Linked DNA regions of Oryctolagus cuniculus. The protein of the gene in region 1 purifies or fractionates together with the protein of each later gene. This does not show direct contact. Links are inferred from orthologs where the notes say so. Each region holds a gene or a part of one and is shown in the gene's direction. Other genes may lie near its edges.

The links.
Region 2: the proteins of CCT8 (region 1) and TLE2 purify together in Homo sapiens (affinity purification with mass spectrometry; 3 studies listed by BioGRID and IntAct, with this or other methods). This does not show direct contact. The link is inferred for Oryctolagus cuniculus from reciprocal best matches to the Homo sapiens genes CCT8 and TLE2.
Region 3: the proteins of CCT8 (region 1) and PDCL3 purify together in Homo sapiens (affinity purification with mass spectrometry; 3 studies listed by BioGRID and IntAct, with this or other methods). This does not show direct contact. The link is inferred for Oryctolagus cuniculus from reciprocal best matches to the Homo sapiens genes CCT8 and PDCL3.

The regions. Positions count from the first base shown.
Region 1 is NC_091435.1:16,585,141-16,588,787, forward strand, and holds part of CCT8 (T-complex protein 1 subunit theta), read left to right. Parts: intron 1-2,182; coding exon 2,183-2,254; intron 2,255-2,330; coding exon 2,331-2,495; intron 2,496-3,159; coding exon 3,160-3,279; intron 3,280-3,647. UniProt on the Homo sapiens protein: Component of the chaperonin-containing T-complex (TRiC), a molecular chaperone complex that assists the folding of actin, tubulin and other proteins upon ATP hydrolysis.
Region 2 is NC_091447.1:59,642,944-59,646,690, forward strand, and holds the start of TLE2 (transducin-like enhancer protein 2), read left to right. Parts: upstream 1-1,399; 5' UTR 1,400-1,658; coding exon 1,659-1,682; intron 1,683-1,766; coding exon 1,767-1,864; intron 1,865-2,061; coding exon 2,062-2,125; intron 2,126-3,382; coding exon 3,383-3,427; intron 3,428-3,747.
Region 3 is NC_091433.1:108,022,792-108,026,372, reverse strand, and holds part of PDCL3 (phosducin-like protein 3), read left to right. Parts: intron 1-1,217; coding exon 1,218-1,308; intron 1,309-1,615; coding exon 1,616-1,759; intron 1,760-2,757; coding exon 2,758-2,966; intron 2,967-3,581. UniProt on the Homo sapiens protein: Acts as a chaperone for the angiogenic VEGF receptor KDR/VEGFR2, increasing its abundance by inhibiting its ubiquitination and degradation.

The DNA.
Region 1 (3,647 bases):
ACTTGTTGCTTATGTAATAATTTTGTGAAATTATTATGCAAAGAAATAGGAAAGGCTATATTTTAAAAATGATTTTAAAGGGCTATCGATAGTTGTTTCTAATTATGATTTACCTTCAGTCGCTTAAGCATTTGTTTTAGTGCTTTTCTCATTCTTTACTTTGGTCCCCTTTTCCATATATCAAACACTGTACAATAAGAAAATTTGCTCTGATCACTGATTTTTTTTATTATTATTATTATTTATTTTGCCAAGTTTGTGATTAGATTTTGAGTGATGGCTCCTGATTAGAAACTCAAATCTGGTTAGAGTTCAGGAATTTAAAAAATCAAATAACAGACTTTTCTTTTTGTAGTGACTTTTTTTTTTTTTTTTTTTTTTTTTTTTTTTTTGAGGAAACTTATAATTTATTGAAGGGCTCTTGAGTCATGGTCCCTGGTTACTATTATTGCCGGAGTGAATGAAATCCAGGGTATAAAGAAGAGGGTAAACAGAAATAGAATAAAAATGGAAAAGAATAAATACTAAGGACCAAATACATAGTACTTTATAAGAATTGGAGAAATAATTATTGAGAAATTTCCCATGAGTCCTCAAATTCTTTTTTTTTTTTTTTTTTTAACTTTTATTTAATGAATATACGTTTCCAAAGTACGAATAATGGATTACTATGGCTTCCCCCCCATACCGTCCCTCCCACCCACAACCCTCCCCTTTCCCACTCCCTCTCCCCTTCCATTCACATCAAGATTCATTTTCGATTATCTTAATATACAGAAGATCAGCTTAGTATACATTAAGTAAGGATTTCAACAGTTTGCTCCCACACAGAAACATAAAGTGAAAAATAATTGATGATTTTTTTTAATGATGATGAAATCAGATCAGACCTATTGTCATGTTTAATCCCAGTGAGAGTCAAGGTGGGAGTTGATAGTTTCTTTTCTTTTCTTTTCTTTTCTTTTTTTTTTTTTTTTTTTTTTTTACAGAGGATCAGTTTAGTATGCATTAAGTAAAGATTTCAACAGTTTGCACCCCCATAGAAACACAAAGTGCAATATATTATTTGAGTACTCGTTATAGCATTAAATCTCAATGCACAGCACATTAAGGACAGAGATCCTACATGAGGAGTAAGTGCACAGTGACTCCTGTTGTTGACTTTACCAATTGACACTCCTGTCTATGGCATCAGTAATCTCCCTATGCTCCAGTCATGAGTTTCCAAGACTATGGAAGCCCCTTGAGTTCTCCGACTCTTATCTTGTTTAGACAAGGTCATAGTCAAAGTGGAGGTTCTCTCCTCCCTTCAGAGAAAGGTACCTCCTTCTTTGAAGACCTGTTCTTTCCACTGAGATCTCACTCACAGAGATCTTTTGCCAGAGTGTCTTGGCTTTCCATGCCTGAAATACTCTCATGGGCTTTTCAGCCAGATCCGAGTGCCTTTAGGGCTGATTCTGAGGCCAGAGTGCTATTTAGGGCATCTGCCATTCTATGAGTCTGCTGAGTATCTCACTTCCCATGTTGTATCACTCTCCCCTTTATTTATTCTATCGGTTAGTGTTAGCAGGTACTAGACTTGCTTATGTGCTCCCTTTGACTCTTAGTCCTTTCATTATGATCAATTGCGAACTGAAATTGATCACTTGGACTAGTGAGATGGCATTGGTACATGCCACCTTGATGGGATTAAATTGGAGTCCCCTGGTATGTTTCTAACTCTACCATTTGGGGCAAGTCAGCTTGAGCATGTCCCAAATTATATATCTCTTCCCTCTCTTATTCCTACTCTTATGTTTAACAGGGATCACATTTCAGTTAAATTTCAACACTTAAGAATAACTGTGTATTAATTACAGAATTAAATCAGTCATATTAAGTAGAACAGACAAAAAAACTACTAAGAGGGATAATGTATTAAGTTGTTCATTAACAGTCAGGGCTATGCTGATCAAGTCACCGTTTCCCATAGTGTCCCTTTCACTTCAACAAGTTTCCTTTTTGGTGTTCAGTCAGTTGTCACCGATCAGGGAGAACATATGGTATTTGTCCCTTTGGGACTGGCTTATTTCACTCAGCATGATGTGTTCCAGATTCCTCCATTTTGTTGCAAATGACTGGATTTCGTTGTTTCTTATGTAGTGACATTTTTGATTGATTAATTTGTTTGGGCTACTTATAGGATAAACGTCTTGTCCCTGGAGGTGGAGCAACAGAGATCGAATTGGCCAAACAGATCACATCATATGGAGAGGTATAGCTTTTTCTGTATATCTTGACTGACTTTACATTACCTGAATAAAATGGCAATTATAATTGTTTTGTTTTAGACATGTCCTGGACTTGAACAATATGCTATAAAGAAGTTTGCTGAGGCGTTTGAAGCTATTCCCCGAGCTCTGGCAGAAAACTCAGGAGTTAAGGCCAATGAAGTAATCTCTAAACTCTATGCAGTCCATCAAGAAGGAAATAAAAATGTTGGATTAGACATTGAGGTATTTAAGGGAAAAAAAAACTATATATTATTGTTTTATTTTGTGAATGCTTAAACTAAAAATGGAAGCAGTAATAGAAATTTCAGTTTTTTTGAAAGGCAGAGACTGTTTTCAGTGGTTCACTCCCCACAAGCCCACAATAGTCAGGGATAGGCCAGGCAGAAGCCAGGAGCCCAGAATATAATTCACATGAGTGTCAGGGCCCCAAGTATTTGAAGTAGTAATTACTGCCTCCTAGGGTGAGCATTAGCTGGGAGCTGTATTAGAAATGTGGTAACTGGGACTTGAACCAGGCACTCCAATATGTAGTTACATATTATGTATATTTATCGTATATTTCTATTTTATGCACATTTATTTATTAATGTTTTCCATCTTAATGTTGAATTATTTGAGAGATAGCTAGCTCCCATCTGCCAGTTCATTCCCCCAGTTGCCTTCAACAGCCAATCACTTGATCCATCCCTGCTTCTCAAGGTCTTCCTTAGCTGGAAATGCAAACCAGGGCACACCAGTAAGGGAGGCAAGAGTATTAACCAGTAGGCCAAATGCCCACCCTTAGTTATTTTTTAGTACAGTTTAAAGAGCCATGAGGTTTTGTTATTGAGTGTAAGCAGTTTCACTTAATTTATAATGAAGGATGAAAATTGTTTTGTGTTAACAGGCTGAAGTTCCTGCTGTAAAAGACATGTTGGAAGCCGGTATTTTAGATACTTATCTAGGAAAATACTGGGCTATCAAACTGGCTACGAATGCTGCAGTCACTGTACTTAGAGTGGATCAGGTGAGCAAAAAGTGAAATTTAGATCTTTAAGCTAGTTTTTTATGGTTCAAGAGGAAATTTTCACAGAACTTGAATATAGCACAGTTCCAATTGTATTCAAAGGAGTACTTGTTTACCATCATATGTTAGAGATGTTAAAGTATCCTTGAAAAATGTCTTTTTTTTCCTATTAGCTTTAGAATGTATGAATATATTACAGCTAATTAAAAATGAAGCTGTCTGCAATATAAACCTTTTTAAATTGGTAAGGAATCTGTGGAATAAACCGAATTTAGATTCAGCTTTCAAGTTTGGCCTTAGAACCCCTTTGTACAAGTTATCTAGAGAGTTTAATTATATAATATTAAAGTGGAATATGGATGCAGGTA
Region 2 (3,747 bases), on another chromosome or scaffold:
TGCCCCGCACTCCCGCGGCCTCCCCACCTCTCCCTGCCCGTGTCAGCCCCCTCCCAGCCAACCCCGCCTCCCCGAGCTCTCCCTTTGCCCACACGATTGTGTAGCGGCCACGCAGCCACGCGGCCACGGGCACTCCCGCCTGCTCTGTCCCAGGACTGCCCCAGAGCGGGGCGGCCAGGAGTCCTGTCCCTCGTCCGTCCGGTCTCCCTGGCGCCTGGACGGGACCTGGGACAGCTACGAGAGGATATCTGGCCATGGCTTAAGAAAGATGCCTTAGGGGCCGGCGCTGTGGTCCAGCGGGTAAAGCCCCGGCCTGCAGTGCCATGTGGGAGCGGGTTCGAGTCCCGGCTGCTCCACTTCCCATCCAGCTCCCTGCTGTGGCCCGGGAAAGCAGTAGAAGATGGCCCCAGTGCTTGGGCCCCTGCACCCGCGTGGGAGACCCGGATGGAGCTCCTGGCTCCTGGCTCTGGATCAGCTCAGCTCCGGCCGTTGCGGCCAAGTGGGGAGTGACCCAGCGGATGGAAGACCTCTCCTCTCTCCAACTCTGCCTCTCTCTGTCTGTAACTCTACCTCTCAAATAAATTAAATCTTAAAAAAAAAAAAAGTTCTGTGAAAGGAGACCTACGGAGCCCCAGACCTTCCCTGTGCCGGGTCACTCCCCAGATGGCCACAGTGGCCTGGGCAGGAGCCTGGGACTCCCCGAGGTGGCCCTCGCTGGTGCAGGGGCCCCAGCAGGCGGGGTGGGGGGAGCAGGCAGCGGCTGAGGGCTGAGCACGGCCGGCCCCAGAGAAAGAGGCCGCCTGCAGGTGAGGGCCTGGGCCCCGGCGCCCTCACCGGCCCAGTACACGGCCCAGGGCAGCCTTGTGGGCTGTGCCCCAGTTCCTGGAGCTGCAGGTGGGCTCCCTGCGTGTTTGTTGATTGACTTAAGGATTGACTTAAAGACAGCGGGTGAGGAGGGGGGAACAGTGAGGCCGTGGGGGGCCAGCAACTGGCTCTGGTCCCAGCCCAGCCCCGCGTGAGCGCCCCTGGCCTGGCAGGTGTCCCCCTCCCCCCACCAAGGCCCTGACACCTGAGGCCAGGGCCGCCCACCCCGGACGCCCCCTGCCCTCGCGGCTGCTCCCGCTCCGGGCCTGGGCGTCTGTTTTCTCGGCTCTTCCGCTCCCGGCCTTGGCGGCGGGTGGGCGGGCGGGTAGGTGGGTGGGTGCGGGGCGCCAGCGTCCCCACCGGGCAGGGAGCAGAGAGGGGTCCCGGGGTTGCGGGTGGGAGGGCAAAGTTGTTGCGGGGCTGGCGGGGGCGGGGGCGCCGCGCCGCGCGGGCGGGGCGGGGGCGGCGGCGCCACCTTAAGCGGCTCTGCCCGCGGCTCCCGGCCGAGCCCCGCCGGAGGGAGGCGGCTCCGCGCGGGGCCCGCGCCGCCCGCGCCGCCACCGCCGCCGAAACCCGGCTGCGCCCGCGCCCCGACCTTCCGCGCCCCGCGCCGCCGCTCGTCCCCGCCACCCGGGCCGCTCGCGGGGGCGCCCGCCAGGGACTCCCGGGCGCTGCCCCGCGCGCTCTGTCGCCCTCCCGCTTTTTCCCCGGACCCCCCCCCCCAACCCGCCGCGGTCGCCCCGCGCCCCCTCCCCATATTGTCCGGCGCGGGGGGTGCGTCTCAGCGCTGCAGGATGTACCCCCAGGGCAGGCACCCGGTGAGTGGGGGGCCTCGGGCGGCGGCGGGGGAGTCCCCGGCGCCCGGGACCCTGACGTCCCCCCTGCCCTAACCCCTCCCCCAGACCCCGCTCCAGTCGGGCCAGCCCTTCAAGTTCTCCATCCTGGAGATCTGTGACCGCATCAAAGAGGAATTCCAGTTCCTGCAGGCACAGTACCACAGGTGCGGGGGAGGGGCGGGCAGGGGGCGCGGGGTGCACCTGGAGGGGCGGGGCCGGGCTGGGGAGGCAGGTGAGGTGCGGTGTGGGGGGGCTCTGAGGTCAGGGAGGGGTGGCGAGGAGGAGGGGAGACCCAGGCCGCACTTTGGAAACTGGCCCCCCCGCGGGGTGCTGGGGGACCCCGCACCCCGTGTCCTCGCAGTCTCAAGCTGGAGTGCGAGAAGCTGGCCAGCGAGAAGACGGAGATGCAGCGGCATTATGTCATGGTGAGCCCCCCCCCGCTCCTCGTCATGGTGAGGGCCCCCCCCCGCTCCTCATCATGGTGAGGCCCCCCCCCGCTCCTCGTCATGGTGAGGGCCCCCCCTCCTCGTCATGGTGAGGGCCCCCCCTCCTCGTCATGGTGAGGGTCTCCCCCTGCTCCTCGTCATGGTGAGGGCCCTCCCAGCTCCTCATCATGGTGAGGGTCCCCCCCCTCCTCGTCATGGTGAGGCCCCCCCAGCTCCTCGTCATGGTGAGGGTCCCCCCAGCTCCTCGTCATGGTGATGGACCCCCCAGCTCCTCATCATGGTGAGGGCCCTCCCAGCTCCTCATCATGGTGAGGGTCCCCCCCCTCCTCGTCATGGTGAGGGTCCCCCCCGCTCCTCGTCATGGTGAGGGTCCCCCCCACTCCTCATCATGGTGAGGGTCCCCCCCCAGCTCCTCGTCATGGTGAGGGCCCCCCCGGCTCTCGGCCTCCTCTCGCCCCCACCTGTGCCCTGGGCTGTCTCTCAGGGTCACTCCAGGGAGACCAGGGGGCACTGACCCCAGGCTGCCCCCTCCCCCACTCAGGGGGGTCTCTGCTGGGGGCCCTGTCCTGCTGTGCCCCTCCCCCAGCCTCGGGCTCCTGTAGACCCGGGTCCCTGAGCTGCTCTCTCCCCGGCCGGGGGCTCCTGTAGACCCGGGGTCCCTGAGCTGCCCTCTCCCCGGCCGGGGCTCCTGTAGACCCGGGTCCCTGAGCTGCTCTCTCCCCGGCCGGGGGCTCCTGTAGACCCGGGGTCCCTGAGCTGCCCTCTCCCCGGCCGGGGCTCCTGTAGACCCGGGGTCCCTGAGCTGCCCTCTCCCCGGCCGGGGGCCCCTGTAGACCCGGGTCCCTGAGCTGCCCTCTCCCCGGCCGGGGGCTCCTGTAGACCCGGGTCTGTGAGCTGCTCTCTCCCCGGCCGGGGGGCTCCTGTAGACCCGGGTCCCTGAGCTGCTCTCTCCCCGGCCGGGGGCTCCTGTAGACCCGGGGTCCCTGAGCTGCCGTCTCCCCGGCCGGGGGCTCCTGTAGACCCGGGGTCCCTGAGCTGCTCTCTCCCCGGCCGGGGGCCCCTGTAGACCCGGGTCCCTGAGCTGCCCTCTCCCCGGCCGGGGGCTCCTGTAGACCCGGGTCCGTGAGCTGCCCTCTCCCCGGCCGGGGGCTCCTGTAGACCCGGGTCCCTGAGCTGCTCTCTCCCCGGCCGGGGGCTCCTGTAGACCCGGGTCCCTGAGCTGCCCTCTCCCCGCAGTACTATGAGATGTCCTACGGCCTCAACATCGAGATGCACAAACAGGTGAGGGGGGGCTGGGAGCGGGGCTGGGGGCCGTGCCAGCCTCTCTCGGCTTCTGAGCCGGGCGGGCGGAGGGCAGGGTCCCGGCGTCCCCGTGGTTGAGGACGGCCGGGCCGGGGGCCGCGTGCACAGTCTCGGGCCTGCTGGGTCTGAGATGGCCCCCGAGACGCTGGTGCACTTCCGAGGTTCTGAGGTCGAGCCGGGAGGCGCGGGCCGGGGCTGCGAGGTGGCTCTGCGGGCCGTGCGCTCCGTGTCGTGGTTCAGGCTGACCAGGTATTGCCACGGTAGACCTCAGGGTTCTGAGATAGCCCTCGGGTTCTGGG
Region 3 (3,581 bases), on another chromosome or scaffold:
AGGGTCCCATGGCCAGCCAGGAAGAGGCGTGGCTGGGCCCGACTCGACTTTTATAACCAGTCCTCTTGGAAAAACGACCTTCCAGGGGCCTACGGACTTCCCACTCACTGGACCTACCTTCTATACACCATAAGTGGTTTAAGTTTCCACCCTCCTAGTGCTATTATGAGTTTGGGATTTCAACAGCTGCATGAATTAGGAAGCCAGATCTTGTTCAGACCACTGCAGTTAGAGTGACTGCACGCCTTAGTGCCTGAGCAACCTGAAGGGTGGAGTTGCCACCAACTGAGATGAAGGCTTGGAGAGGAGCAGGTTTGCAGGAAGATGGAGACTCTGTTTGGGACATGTTAACTTTGAGAGTCTCACGGAACAAGTAGAGGGGCTAAGCAGGTGGTTGGGTGTGTTTTCAGAGAAGTGTGAGCTGGGGATGTGACTTTAGGAGTTGTGAGTGTACCGAAAACACACAAAGCCCCTAGGAGTAGTCACTGAGGGTGCAGGCATAGAAGCTGAGTCAAAGAATTGAACCCTGAGCACTTGTCATCAGCAGAAGGTTCACAGTGGGCACAGCTGTAGGGGCAGGAGGAGAACGGGGCCTCCTGGAAGCCAGGGGAGGCCGGGACGGCTTGGATCAGGTGCCGCTCGTCATCAGGGAATGAGGTTGTTGACCTGGATGAGAGTTTTGTTGGAGGCACAGCGAAAGCCAGGTTTGCTGTCAAGCAGGAGTGACAGTAAAAATGAGATGCTGATTTTATACCAGTTCATTACAAGAAAGGATAGAGTTGCCTGCCACACAGAAGACATGGCCAAGAAATACATGACGGTCACCTTTAACTCCAGGAAAGTGTGTGTGGGAAGGTCCCCTGCTGCCATCACCCCGACTCCTTGGGTAGTAGAATTGTTGATACACCTGCCGCTAGTGGATATGCCCGACCAGGGGACTTCGGGCTTTGTAAACCTGGGAGATTTCTCACCCATCCACTCACTGTGTGGGGGTGAGATGCTCCCGTCTGTAGGTGTCCGCACAGGTTTTTCTTTTTAAAACACCCCCCACGTCTTATTCACTAGTGAGATGTAAGTAATCTTTATGTTGGTGAGCTGGGGCCTGCTGGTATTGTGTGCTTACCTTTAGGAGAAAAGCGAAGGGGAATACCCAAAATGCATGTTTGTTCATCTTGAATTTTTGTTTTTTTTGCTTTGGCTGTTGTAACTAAATTCAGTGAAGACGTATGAAGATATGACATTGGAAGAACTGGAAGATAATGAAGACGAATTCAATGAAGAGGATGAACGTGCTATTGAAATGTACAGGTTAGTGCCACTCAGAGGGACCGTTTAGGTTTTTTGCGTGGTAATTTTTACCATACCGTAAAATGTGCATCCATTGTAAATTTACTTTTCTGGGGGCTGGTGTTGTGGCACAGTGGATGGAGCCACACTGCCTGTATTGCCAGCATCCCATATGAGTGGTAGTTAGAGTCCTGGCTGTTCCACTTCTGACTCAACTCCCCTGCTAATGCGCCTGGGAAGGCAGTGGAAGATGGCTATTTGTGTGTGTATTTGTGCATGCGTACATATGTGCATGTGTTAGAAGATATTTTCTCTGTCTGTTGTCCAGGCAGCAAAGACTGGCCGAGTGGAGAGCAACTCAAGAAAAGAATAAATTTGGAGAAGTTTTGGAGATTTCAGGAAAAGATTATGTCCAAGAAGTTACCAAAGCTGGTGAGGGCTTGTGGGTAATCTTGCACCTTTACAAACAAGGGTGAGCTGATCATCTTTTGTGTTCTAGAACATGTGAATTTTAATTTATATGTTGAATCCATATCAAGCTTATTCCATATTCTGGTATTTGTCGTTGTTTATTAGTGTTATGTGTTTTTGTTGCTCATTTACTAAAGCTTTAATGCCTAATTTTTATCTTGACTACCAAATTAATATCTGTGACTCAATGCAATTGTCTCTGTAAAAATATAGCAAAGAAGGGGCTGGCGTTGTGACATAGTGGGTTAAGCCTCCGCCTGCAACACCAGCATCCCAAATGGGTGCCAGTTTGAGACCCGGCTGCTCTGCTTCTGATTCAGCTCCCTGCCAATGCGCCTGGGAGAGCAGCAGAGGATGGCCTGGACGCTTGGACCCCTGCACGCATGTGGGAGACCCAGAAGCAGCACTGGGCCCCTTGCTTCAGCCTGGCCTAGCCCTGGCCGTTGTGACCATTTGGGGAGTGAACCAGAGATGGAAAACCTCTCTCTCTCCATCTTTCCTCCTCTATCCATAACTCTGCCTTTCAAATTAAAAAAAAAAAAAGTATAGTTGAAGAGTCAGTTTGCTTTCACTGAAAAGGAATTCCTGGGACTCCGGCAATTCCAAATTCTATAGTTCATGGTTCCTGCAGACAGAGAAGGTGACCTCCCAGCCATTGTCTGCCGTGTGGTGCTGAGGGCCTCCAGCCTCCCTCCACGCTCAGTCCTGCTCCTAACCTGTAGAGCCCAGTGCTTTTTGTGGCATTTCCTTAAAGCAGGAAATATGTTCTGGCCTGTTTCACACATTCTGCATCTTTGGTGTTCTCTCATTCGACCTTATGGAAGGCCATAGCAGTTGTCTTTTATGCTGACACTGTTTTCCTGAGCTGTTGTTGTATCAAATGAAATTGGACTTTGGGTTTCAAGTTCTTCACTTCACATGGACATATTAGGAAGTGCTGATTGGTCTTGGCCGGTAGTGGAATCACCAGTGCCTCTGCATTCTGTTTGTGTGTTCCAGGATTCCCCTCTGTGCCTTGATAAATCAGCACTTCAGCGCACTTGCCAGGAAGTTTCCTGATGTGAAGTTCATCAAAGCCATTTCAACAACCTGCATACCCAATTATCCAGATAGGAATCTGCCCACGGTATTCGTGTACCTGGAAGGCGAGATCAAGGCTCAGTTTGTTGGCCCACTGGTGTTCGGCGGCATGAACTTGACTCGAGATGGTAAGGGGCGTATGAGGGCCGGGGAGGGGGTTTTTCTGTTACTGAGAGTGCTTGTTTGCTGGCCGGGTGTTGCCATGTGGGCAGCTGTGCATTTGGTCTCCTGTCTTAGCAACTAGTTAGGAGCAGTCACAGCGGGGCTGCAGCAGTTCTCAAAGGAAGACACAGAGAACCTAGCTACATGTTTAACGTTAATGTCAAATATACTTTATTTGGCCCTGCAGCTAAATATTTTTTAAGTGTAGCCCAATATAACATTCATTTTTTGCTCACATCAACGTATTGTTGAAGACACATAGGAGTTCAGTCTAAAAAGTTTGTGGTATGATAAAATTAGAAGATAAATCTATTTTGGTGCAAAAAGATTTTTTGAGACCCTTGTATAGTTTTTCATAATACACATTTTTCATGAATTTTTTGAAGCCCTCATATGTATGTATATTTCTCTGTTGAAATATTTTCTCAGTTGAGTACCTTAGTAGCTTTTCAATTTAAACTTTATTTATTTTTGCCTGTAACTCTGGAAGGATTAAAAAAAATTCCTTCCCATGTGTTACACATGGAGATGGCAAAGTGTTTATCCATGCTTAATGAGAGAACCTGAGGCCAGAGGCAAAT